Linked DNA regions of Macaca mulatta. The protein of the gene in region 1 interacts with the protein of each later gene in a biochemical or structural test. Links are inferred from orthologs where the notes say so. Each region holds a gene or a part of one and is shown on either strand. Other genes may lie near its edges. The genes, in order: JAG1, NOTCH2 and CD46.

Region 1 (3,647 bases):
GGCTGGTCTTGAACTCCCAACCTCAGATGATCCACCCTGCCCACTCGGCCTCCCAAAGTGCTGGGATTACAGGTGTGAGCCACTGCACCCCGCAGTGTTGAAATTGTTTTAATCAGAAACAGCAAGGCTGGGGAAGACCGGTCGAGGCTTATCTTTACATCTGGATCTAAGACTGAGGTCGTGTTCAATTTACCAGATCACTCTGCCTCGGAGCCTCCATATCTATGTTGGAACATTCTGGAATGTTGCTAGGTTGGGTGGTTCCTCTTTAGGAGTTTCTTCCCCACTTTCACCAAGTACAGGTGACTGAATGCCCATGTGAGGGCATTAAGTGGGTAAGGCACTCTGGAAGTTTCTGCTTGATAAGCCGCCTAATTTGAGAAACAGCCCTGATGGAGGGTGGCAGGTGGAGGTGCCAGGTGCATTGTGTCAGGAGGGAGCCATGAAAACTGCCGAACAGTGCTTGTCTATGGCTTCACTTGTCCTTCAGCTCTTTTTTTTTTTGCTTTGTTTGGTAGATATTAATGACTGTGAGAGCAACCCCTGTAGAAACGGTGGTACTTGCATCGATGGTGTCAACTCCTACAAGTGCATCTGTAGTGACGGCTGGGAGGGGGCCTACTGTGAAACCAGTGAGTCTGCCACTGTTTGGGGAGCTCTGGGATGTATGGGTCATATTGGAGGGATCCCACTTCAACGTGGGAAATCTTTCTTTGTCCTGGAAATCTCTGGAAGCAAGACCCCAGTGATTTCTGCAATAGGACAGTATCACTTGTGTCTCATTTGCGTTTGAGTACTGATGACAGCTTATGGGGAGGAATTTCTGCTGAGGAGCTATAGAATTAGACTGTGTAACAAATATTCCTGCTTGCAAGGAAAGTCATATTTCTACTTTAATTTCCATGGGACTTCCAGAGGCCCACCCCACATCTTGCCTAACTTGTGGCATTCAAAGTAACCTGGTTGGGAGCTCCTTTATTCCTGGAAAAGCCTGATTGTGTTAAAGTACTACGGCTGTTCTCAGAATAGGGTGTTGGATGTAGCAGTAGGAAAGGCTTGGCTCTCGCCTGTCGTGAGTGGTCCTGGACTTGGTCTTCAGCCGATTGTCTCCTCTTTGATTCTAGATATTAATGACTGCAGCCAGAACCCCTGCCACAATGGGGGCACGTGTCGCGACCTGGTCAACGACTTCTACTGTGACTGTAAAAACGGGTGGAAAGGAAAGACCTGCCACTCACGTAAGTGGTAGTTGGCCTTGGATGCTATCTCTGAGACCCTTCCCTCTGTCTCCTGTGGGAGGGGGCCACTGGGACTCACACTGAGATATTTTCCTCCAGGTGACAGTCAGTGTGACGAGGCCACGTGCAACAACGGTGGCACCTGCTATGATGAGGGGGATGCTTTTAAGTGCATGTGTCCTGGCGGCTGGGAAGGAACCACCTGTAACATAGGTAACTTTCTGCCCCACGTGGGATCTGCAGTGGGCATGGCCACCTGGGTGTGTCTGCTGGTTGGCCCCTGGAGCTTATGATATTTCTCTGGGCCTGGTTCTTGCCCCTCCAGACTGTTTCTGGATACTCAGGGAGGGTGGTCGTGTCTGCTCTTCTTTATAGCCCGAAACAGTAGCTGCCTGCCCAACCCCTGCCATAATGGGGGCACATGTGTGGTCAACGGCGAGTCCTTTACGTGCGTCTGCAAGGAAGGCTGGGAGGGGCCCATCTGTGCTCAGAGTGAGTGTCCTCCCCCTTGAACTCTCCCAGGGCTGTCGGAGCAGATCCTGACACCCTTGGGGACTTGCAATGGAAACCAGAAGCAGAGCTGTTTGATGTCTGCTTTTGTATCACCTGGGTCTGCATTAATGACTTGATGGGATACAGCCCTGACCTGGGCATGAGAAAGTCGCCAATGAGATAAGTGGAGACAGATGGCGTCTCAGTTCCCAGCTCTGGGTCTGACCAGCAGCCTGTCTCCTTCCATTCTCACCCCCACCCCTATCCCCTACCAGGGCCTCTTCCTGCGTACATGTGTCCCACAGCAAAACTAAGTGTGGTGCGGGCCTGGTTCCAATTTAGCGAAGGTATTTTGCTGGTGTTAACTACGACTTTATCATTTGGGTATTAAGGAAATAAGTGGTGGTTTTACTTAGGGCTAAGACCGCTTTCCCTTTTGAAGGCCTCACTATTAAGTTGTCTTTTCTTTGCAGATACCAATGACTGCAGCCCTCATCCCTGGTAAGTGTGACATCCTTTTAAGCCAGCACTCATCCAGTATCGTGTGTGTGTGTGTGTGTGTGTGCGTGTGTGTGTGAATCACCCAGGGATCGTGTGTAAAATGCAAGTTCTGAGTCAGGAGATCTGGGGTGGGGCTTCAGACTGCTTTTCTAACAAGCTCCCAGGTGAAGCGATCCTGCTGCTCCACGGACCACACTTTAATTAGCCAGCTTGTGTCCTCATTTAGAGCAGTGATTTTTCAACCTTGGCTGCACACCAGAATCACCTGGGAGCTTTTAAAAATCCCATTGCCTGGGCTGCAACCAAGACCTACGAAATTAGACTTTCTGGGGGTGGGACCCAGGCATCAGTATTCTTTAAAGCTCCCCAGGCAATAGCCATGGGGTGAGAGCCACTGACTGTAACTGGTGTGGTGACATGCGAGTGACTGGCAGCCAGAGTCATGGACTGGGAGGTTGGTAACCAAGGCGGTCTTTGCTTTCTCAGTTACAACAGCGGCACCTGTGTGGATGGAGACAACTGGTACCGGTGCGAATGTGCCCCGGGTTTTGCCGGACCTGACTGCAGAATAAGTAAGGACTGTCCCTGTCTGATTTTCCCAATGGCTTTACCCCTTCATTCCATACCTCAGCCCGAGACTTTCATCTTTAAAAACAAAGCCACCATTCCGTTTAAGTAGCTCTCAGAGAGCAAGGATCTCCCTCTTCCAGCTGGGATTAAGATATCCCAGGCTGGATCCTCCCAGGTACCTGCTGGTGGTTCCCTGGGTGGTGTCGCCCTCCTTGTTCTTGGGGAGAGAGTGCCAGCCACAGAATCTGATGATTACACTGGGGTCCTGAAGAAAGTGTGTGCATTTCCCCGTGACTAACATGAAATTATGGGCAAGCAGACATTAACCGCAGCTACACTGGTATAGGATAGAGCTAATACAAATGGAAGGGAGGACGACTGTGGCTTCCAGAGGCTTGTCTCTGCTGGGTCTGATCAGGCCCTGGAGAAATGACTAAAATAGGAAAATACGGGCAGGCAATGCAGTTTTTCAAGAAGTTTAAAACGTATTATTTCGAGCCTTTTCTCTAATTTTTTTTTTACAAGCCCTTTCTCTTACAGAACAAAAAAAGGTGCTAGAGTAGTTATGGTTTGATTCTTGTACCCAAATTGTCTGAAATTTTACTGGTGCTTGAAATCCAAGTCTGGGATTAACTAGTCTTCAGCACTAGATGGGGGCAGGTTGTATCTGTTTCATGTTTCTAAATAAACAGTTGGCAAACTGTGGCCTAGGGGCTGTATCCAGCCCACTGTCTGTTTTTATACATACAGTTTTCTTGGCATAGAGCCACACATTCATTTACGTATTGTCTATGGCTACTTTCATGATACCACAAGAGTTGAATAGTTGTGACAGAGACTATATAC
Region 2 (3,647 bases), on another chromosome or scaffold:
CTACAGAAAAGGCCCATCACAGAACACGTTAACACTCTTGAGAATATAGCAGTTTTTCTCAGTCTTTCTTATTATCACCCCCTTAGACATGTTTTCCTAATTATCTCCCCGATGAAATATTAACATCACAGATAGGCTGTGCCTCTACCAGTGTACTGAATGTATATCTGTGATTTATACACAAAAAGAGTAAGATTATTTCACCTCTCCTCAAAAAACAATTTTGCACCTTAGGAGGAACATCTCTTTAGTTGGGAATTCATAAAATAAAGCATGCCCCTGAGCCAGAGACTCACTTAAAAGAGTACTGAGCTTATCAAAATAAGGTTCTAATAGGAAAAGGAGTTAGAAATAAGAAAGGTAGGAAGAGAAAAAACTAAGGCATGCACAGGACTGGGAAAAATAAGGGAAACAGTGAAAGAAAGAAGAGACAAAACGTGCAAGAAAGGACTAAGATGAGGAAAATGAAGAAAACTGAGAGAAGATGAATGACAGAAGGAAGCAGGACAAAAAACTCAGACGGAGAAAAATCAAACAGGAAAACATCAGGGTATCCAAGGATAGAAAAAGCAGCAGCAGGAGGGAAAAAAGAAAGAAAACAAGAGAAAAAGAAGTGACTATGAACAGAAGAGACAGCTGGAGAAAAGGAATGTCAGGGAGAGAAAAGGTTACACCAAGCTATCTATAGCCAGCCTACTGCAAGCTGAATACTGAGAGGGAAAAGAACTCCATCCTGACACATGCCTGGACAAGCCCTATATTCTCATCAAGCTCTCCAAACCCAGTGTCTGCCCAAACTGCTTCCATCTTTGTCTATACATATCACAAGAGAAGCTGTAAGGAGAAATGGGAAGGGGCTTATAACTGAGGCACTGCTATGAGCCTCCTTAAACTCAGAGCCACAAATTGTACCTTGTTGTCCTGCATGTCTCGGTTAGCCCCATTTTTCAACAGCAAAAGAGTCGCCTCCACATTATTGACAGCAGCTGCCCAGTGAAGGGCAGATTTTCCTGAAGGGGAGAAACATTTTTATAAACAGACATATCATACTCTTAGTAAAAAACACCATGACTTGTACAACGAAACTTTAAATTCCCCAGAGATCAGCAGGAAGCAGTTCTCTGTAGGGGTCTATAGGAAAAACCAAAGTAATCTCTTCCTTTTCCTCTGTTCTAGAAATACTTCAGTACAGGCTGCCTAGCCTGCAGAAGACCTCTAGGTGAAAGGATCACTTGTATGAGGTATTCATGTCCCCTACATGGCAGAATCTACCCTGTTACATACTGAAGACAAAAACCTATGTATTACATGTCAGAATTTATATTGAGAATATTCCACAACTCTCCTAGAGAAGTCAGCTCTCATAAATCCTCAAATCAAGAGTGGTATGCCTAGGAAACTACATGGGAACACCTTTCATGTATCTGCTCTGAGGTCCAAGAACCCTCATTAAAAATCCCTCATTTTAATTAGGGATCTCCTACTGGCTTGGATCTCTGAGTTCAGCATGTTAAAGGAAGAATGAATAAATGCATGAATGAAAGAATGAGTGAATCTCCCATGTATATGAATCTCAGACAGTTCTTTAAGGGTCATGTAACCATTCCCCCTCCTCAGAGGCATGCTTTGCAGGTAAGAATCCAAATCCCTGCCTTTCATCCCTACCATGGTCATCCACTGCATTCACATCTGCTTGGCAGTTGATCAGTTCTGCCACCATTCCCTCCACAGCCAGGCGGGCAGCCAGGATCAGGGGTGTAGTACCATCATTCATCCTGGCATCTAGATCAGTTACTCGGTTGCGAATCAGAATCTAGAAGAGGAGAAAATACAGAAAAGAGAGTCACCTGGATAAAGGAAAATAATGAAACTCAGTGAAGAAACAAGGGCATCAGAGCTGAGGCTACACTGTAGGTTCCCAGAGGGGAGGGAAAGTCTTGTTATCTTTGTGCCCAAGATTCTATCGTCATCAATCAATAAATAGTTGTTGATTGAATAAATAAACAAATACGTGCTCAATAAATAATGGCTGATGTAAAGTGAAGAGCCTTCTACTTCCTCAGGAAAGAAGAGGGATGTGGGGAAATATCACAACTTCAGTCAGTCTACAGTCTAAGGTGATTCAGAATGCTTCCGATTTCCTCGTAAGGATAAACAGGCATCAGGGAATATAATAGGAACTCAGGTCAAGAAAACTGCCAATGAGCAGCTGGAAGCCCATACAGTCAGGCCAATCCGTAAGCAGTAGTGGATACAAGTCAAAGGCTCCAGAACAGGTATCACTCTCATCTAATCTATGCATTTGGGAAGCATCTTGGCACAACAAATTATCACTAATAATCAGAAAGACTGCTGTTGTCTGCAGTTGGCTCTATCACTATCTTCCTATATAGAGCTGGGTCAGTTTGCCTGTCTCCCTTCCCACTTTCCCATCTAGCAGGCATGACTCTAATACCTGCCCTAATCTCTCAAATGATTGAATAAATTCAATGAGATATTAGTTCCTTAAAAAAGATAAAACTGTACAGAGCCATAGGAATTATTATTCAAGTGACTCTTCTCATGTTCTTTACCTGGAAGACACCTTGGGCATCAGCTGCCACTGCAGCATGGAGGGGGCAGCGGCCCATGTTGTCCTGGGCATTGGCATCTGCACCTGCATCCAGGAGACGCTTGGCAGCATCAGCCCGTGAGTAGCGGGCTGCAAGGTGCAGGGCCATCTCACCAGTCCGGTCCGTCTGGGCCTGGAGGCTGGCACCTTGGTAGACCAAGTCTGTGATGATGTTAGCAGAAGAGTCCTCTGCATCTTCATCTTCATCACTCAAATCTGAGCTGCCTCCTCGGAGAGAAGCCAACATTAATGGGGTGCAGCCATCTGTAGGAATGGAAAATTCCATAAAGTACTCAAGAAGGAGAAGGCAGTTAACCCTATCTTCAGCTTGAAACAGCTCTATTTTAGTTACTCTTAGGGGCAAAGAATTCCCTGCACTTCTTGTAGTAACTGGTTATTAGTTTCACATTTGCTACGTTTTCCTCTGATAACATCGTTTCTGTAAAGAATAATGGGAAAGTACAAGTCTTTTTAAGCTGGGGGTTCTTCTCTAAGTAAAACAAGTTTTTCTGTTCAAGTTTAAGTGATATGTTATTTTAATTGGACATTTAAAAATATGTAATATTAATAGAGCAATTGATATATTCATAAGGTATTAACTAACTATCCTCTGCTTTGGGATATTATTTTTCTATCCTACTACAATCTAACCCATTTTATCAGCCTGTTTAGTCTCAACACACTGTTCGTGAAGCAATGTGAAATCCTTCCCTTTCTGAGTTGATAATTTCTTCATGGCTACATTTCTTAAGCATTCATTTCCTCAAGCTGATTTACAGTCTGTGAAATTGGGAAGGGGTATATGGCTGGATGGGGCAAACACAGGGACAGCAATGTGGAACCATGGGCAGACACAGCCCAGTGAAGAGGGGAAGAGGCCGGGTGCTGACCTGGGCCCCGGACATTCACATCCAACACATCCACCTCCTGCTCTGCCTGAGGAGGGGTGAGGGCCAGCGATGGTGTCCTACGGATGTCTGCAGCTTCAAGGTGCTGCTGTGTCCATGGCCGTCGATCAATGGGGTCATCTTCTTCT
Region 3 (4,231 bases), on another chromosome or scaffold:
CTTACAATTATATCAGTTTCTCATATTTGCTATTCTTTTGCAATATTTGCTGCATAGAATTCCATCACACAAAGCTAACTACCAGAAATTCCTTATTACTTTTGCTAGACACTTAGGGTTTACATTTTTTAAAATTTATAAATCTTTGATCACAGCTCTGATGATTTCTCTGGGAACTGATAGCCTAACAGAACTCATGTCCACTTTAAGACTTTTAACATTCTGAAAAATTGTATTACAAACAGAGCGCTGGTCTCCCTGCAACACGTTCACTCACACTGGCTGAGGTTTTAATTCTTTGCCAGTCTGAGAGGAAGAAATGCCAACTCTTTGTTTGCTCTTGTAATGCCAGTCATGTCCCTTTTTTTCCTGTTACCAGTCATACCGGTTTACTACTCAGAACCCTACAAATCAATCCTGCTCATTCTTAATTTTCCGATATTCTTCCTAAGATTGTTTCACCAGAAAACTTCTCCCCCTTATCCACTCTTCACCTAACAATTTCTACCCACCCCAATCCTCCTGCATTCATTGCTTCCAACTGGCACGTAGGACACCCTTGGTCTTACGTTGTTTATGCATGTGTATTTCGTCTTCAATAAAACATTCAGTTGCTCAAGGGCAAGGGCCCCATAGAGTCTCAATATGCTAACGGCCTGGTGTTGCCTAATAATTTAGATTCTGAGGGGTCCTCTCCAGGGAGGGGAGCAAAGAGCAAATTATCTTAGGGGCTGGGAGTGCAGAAGTCAAACCTTTGAGATTGTGAAAACAAGACGGCCCCGAGAAGATTCAGTAGCAGGTATTCAAGCAGGAAAAACTCACATATTGTTTCTAATAATGCCTGACTAATGCAAAATACCAAATAAGGGCCCAGGCAGTCCAGACGGCCTGCAGGGCCCCAGGATAAAACTAACCCTGAGGGGTGCTGGCCCACGGTGACCCCCTGCCTGGACTCTGGATCTCTGTTTTTACGTCGAAGTGCTTTATTCTTGATTCTCGAGTTCCCGGAAACGATGACCAAAGCAGCTTAGTTTTCCACCCTTCCTTGGTCACAAATATGACGATGAGGCAGCCCTTTCCCGCACGACGCCTCAGGGTTCCGGGATGGTCAGCCAAAAGTTTACCAAGAAAAGAGGCGGGTCCGGGAAGCCAGGGCAGATAGGCCCCGCCAGGGCCACGCCCTGTCTCCTCGAAGGCCAACGGCTGCCTCTGAGCCCCGAGGCCCGACCCCACAGCCCGCCGATTGGTCCCAGCCTCCCTCGTGAGTCGACTGACTTCCGCCCCCGGCGCGGTTCAGGCCACGCCCACCTGTTCTGCGGCCCTAGATACTTTGTGAGTTGGTGATTGTTGCGTACCATAGCCGGACTCAGAAGGGGCTTCCCTGCTCGGCTGGCTCTCGGTTTCTCTGCTCTCCCTCCGGAAAAATAGCGGCGTCTTCCGCATCGCGCCATGGCTTCTTCCGGCCGCCGCGAGCGTCCCTTTTCTTCCGGTCGGTTTCCTGGGTTGCTTTTGGCTACCCTCGTGTTGCAGCTATCCTCCTTCTCCGGTAGGACCCCGGGGCGAGTTCGCGCGTCCGCGGCGAGGCTAGAGCTCTGCGCAGTCAGTCGGGCAGGAGGCGCGGGGCGGGGCTCACTGCACGTCGTGCCTGCCTGGGATAGAGAGCGAGGCCAGGGTTCTCCGAGGGGTGTAGTGCTCAGATCCCGGGGGTATGTGGCGGGGATTGCGGGGACCACGCAGAGCCCGAGGTGAAGCTTGTTTCGGGGCGTGGTGTGCGCGGCCGGCATTTACGCAGGATCTGGCTGTGTCCCCTTCAAAAGCGTGAACAGTGTTTTCGGGATTGAGCCCTGTCGACAAGGGGAGTGCGGACTGCGCGCCCCAGGTGAGGGCTTGCTCTGGAGTGCACAGGTGCGTGGGAGTGTTGCTAGGGCCCGTGCTGTGCCCGTGGTGAGAGTTTGCCCTGTGTTCCCTTGGTGCCTTGGTGAGTGGAGTGTTCATTAGGGCTTGGACAGTACCCGCGGTAAGGGTTGCAGTGCGTCTGCTGTGCCCCATGTGCTGGACTGGGCTGGGCGAGAGGGGCCTGGCCAGGTGTTGCTGGGAGCCTGTTGTGCGCAAGTGGCCTGTGTGCGGAGTTCACTGTGGGCAAGACAGCTAGCTCACTGTTTGCTTTGAATGGAGTGAGCGCGGACGCTGGGGCTGGGGAGGGCATATTGGGTGAGAGGAGGCTCTCAGTGCCTGGTGTTAGAGAGGTGGTAAGGGCGCGCCATGCTTTTTGTGCCTTCTGTGAACAGACTTCTGTGTTGCCTGAGCTCCTATTAGTTTTTAAATGGCTGCTTTTTTGGGGGTGGGTGGACCATCGAGTCATTTTCCTGTTCCCAACCAATAGAGACAGTATCTGATTCCATTACCTAATGGATTTTTGACATTGTTTTCCTTCTTTTCATTAGAGTCATATTTGAGAGATGTGAAGCAACCTAAAAAACACTGGTAACCAAGCCTAGTGAGAAATTAGTATCCTAACAAAGGAAGGCAAATAATGTTAATCTTGTTTTCCCCTACAGCTCATAAACTAAAGCTTAAGGCCTATCCCACTAAATTTGTATTGTATTTCATTGAATGGAATCAGTAATTTTAAAAATGCATGCTAGGCCAGGCGCAGTGACTGACGCCTGTGATCCCAGCAGTTTGGGAAGCCCAGGCGGGGTGATTGCTTGTGCCCAGGAGTTCGAGATCAACGTGGGTAACATGGCAAAACCCCATCTGTACAAAAAATACAAAAATTAGCGGGGCATGGTGGTGTGTGCCCGTGGTCCCAGCTACTCTGGGGGCTGAGGTAGGAGATTCGCTTGAGCTCAGGAGGTGAAGGCTGCAGTGAGCTGTGATCATGCCACTGCACTCTAACCTGGATGACAGAGTGAGACCCTGTCAAAACAAAACAAAACAAAACAAACCGCTAAGAAATACATGCTTATTGTATGACACGAACAGAATCAAAAGACACTATTTTTAATATTTTGGTATATTTCTTTCTGACTTTATGTGCGCTTCATGTGTATCTATGTCCAAATTATATTTAGGATCTAATAACGTATAGTTTCTGTGTTGCATTTTTTTCCTTAGGAGCATTTGCTCAACGAATATGGGTTTTGTATGTCTATTGCTATTACACTGGTAGGCAATAACAAACCATTCCTATTTTCTTGATCCTTTTTTCACTATTGGTTTACACACACGTTCATGCAGGAAGATAAGCAGAGACTTTGTTTTGCTCGATGCTAAGTGCTCAGTGCCGGGAACACAGTAGGTAACCAATCAATTATTTGCTACAATGTATTGGGAGTGGCAGACATTAACCAAAACTTAATAGTAACAAATAAATTATGAACCAAGGGAAGTTCTCTGGAGGAAAGGCGTATAATTTTCAGATATAAATCTGACAGCATTTAACAGATGTCTCGAGGGAGGGAAGGCTTTTCTGCTCATCAAACAGACTTTGGGGCATCTGTGCTTGCTGTTCCCTCAGCCTGGGAACACTCTCCTCCTGACCTGCTGCAGAAACAGGCTTGCTCTTCTGCAAAGTCAGCTGGAAGGTTATGCCCTAGGAGACCTTCTCTGAACGCGCCCCCACAACGTCCCCGCCCCCACAACGTCCCCGCCCCCACAACGTCCCCGCCCCCACAACGTCCCCGCCCCCACAGCGTCCCCGCCCCCACAACGTCCCCGCCCCCACAACGTCCCCGCCCCCACAACGTCCCCGCCCCCACAACGTCCCCGCCCCCACAACGTCCCCCATCTCAGGTTGAACATACAACCCGGTTCAAGTCCCTCTTCACTTGTAATCACCCTTTTAAAATGACCTTTTCTGTTCTTTGTCTCTCCCTGTTAGAATGCAGGGATCCTGCCTGTGTTGTCAATACTTGTGGTTCCAAAAGCCCCATTTGTTTGCCTCCATATCTGTTAAATACCAGAAAATTAAATATACTATTCGGCTGGGGATTAGAGCCTAGGAAAAAGCTCCTCCTGCCTCCAAGAGGAAGGTTGTTTAAAGAGCTCTGCTCAGGATGGTCTTTCTGTGGTACCTAAAAAGCTAGGGCAGGGGCAGCTGAGGGCCAGAAAGGATCTGTCTCCCCTGTTTGTGTTAACTTTGCAGAGCTTCCGGTACTTCAGTCTTGCATCTCACTGATCATTAAAACGTTCATTTTGAAGGAGGGTGATGGGAGTAGGGAGCAGTGGT

The links.
Region 2: the proteins of JAG1 (region 1) and NOTCH2 form a complex in vitro, tested with the Homo sapiens proteins (2 studies listed by BioGRID). The link is inferred for Macaca mulatta from reciprocal best matches to the Homo sapiens genes JAG1 and NOTCH2.
Region 3: the proteins of JAG1 (region 1) and CD46 form a complex in vitro, tested with the Homo sapiens proteins (2 studies listed by IntAct, with this or other methods). The link is inferred for Macaca mulatta from reciprocal best matches to the Homo sapiens genes JAG1 and CD46.

Annotation. Positions count from the first base shown.
Region 1 is NC_133415.1:73,376,941-73,380,587, forward strand, and holds part of JAG1 (protein jagged-1), read left to right. Parts: intron 1-518; coding exon 519-632; intron 633-1,124; coding exon 1,125-1,238; intron 1,239-1,337; coding exon 1,338-1,451; intron 1,452-1,613; coding exon 1,614-1,730; intron 1,731-2,203; coding exon 2,204-2,231; intron 2,232-2,717; coding exon 2,718-2,803; intron 2,804-3,647. UniProt on the Homo sapiens protein: Ligand for multiple Notch receptors and involved in the mediation of Notch signaling. May be involved in cell-fate decisions during hematopoiesis. Seems to be involved in early and late stages of mammalian cardiovascular development.
Region 2 is NC_133406.1:120,369,981-120,373,627, reverse strand, and holds part of NOTCH2 (neurogenic locus notch homolog protein 2), read right to left. Parts: coding exon 3,502-3,647; intron 2,876-3,501; coding exon 2,574-2,875; intron 1,814-2,573; coding exon 1,666-1,813; intron 1,011-1,665; coding exon 913-1,010; intron 1-912. UniProt on the Homo sapiens protein: Functions as a receptor for membrane-bound ligands Jagged-1 (JAG1), Jagged-2 (JAG2) and Delta-1 (DLL1) to regulate cell-fate determination.
Region 3 is NC_133406.1:65,496,667-65,500,897, forward strand, and holds the start of CD46 (membrane cofactor protein), read left to right. Parts: upstream 1-1,302; 5' UTR 1,303-1,449; coding exon 1,450-1,546; intron 1,547-4,231. UniProt on the Homo sapiens protein: Acts as a cofactor for complement factor I, a serine protease which protects autologous cells against complement-mediated injury by cleaving C3b and C4b deposited on host tissue.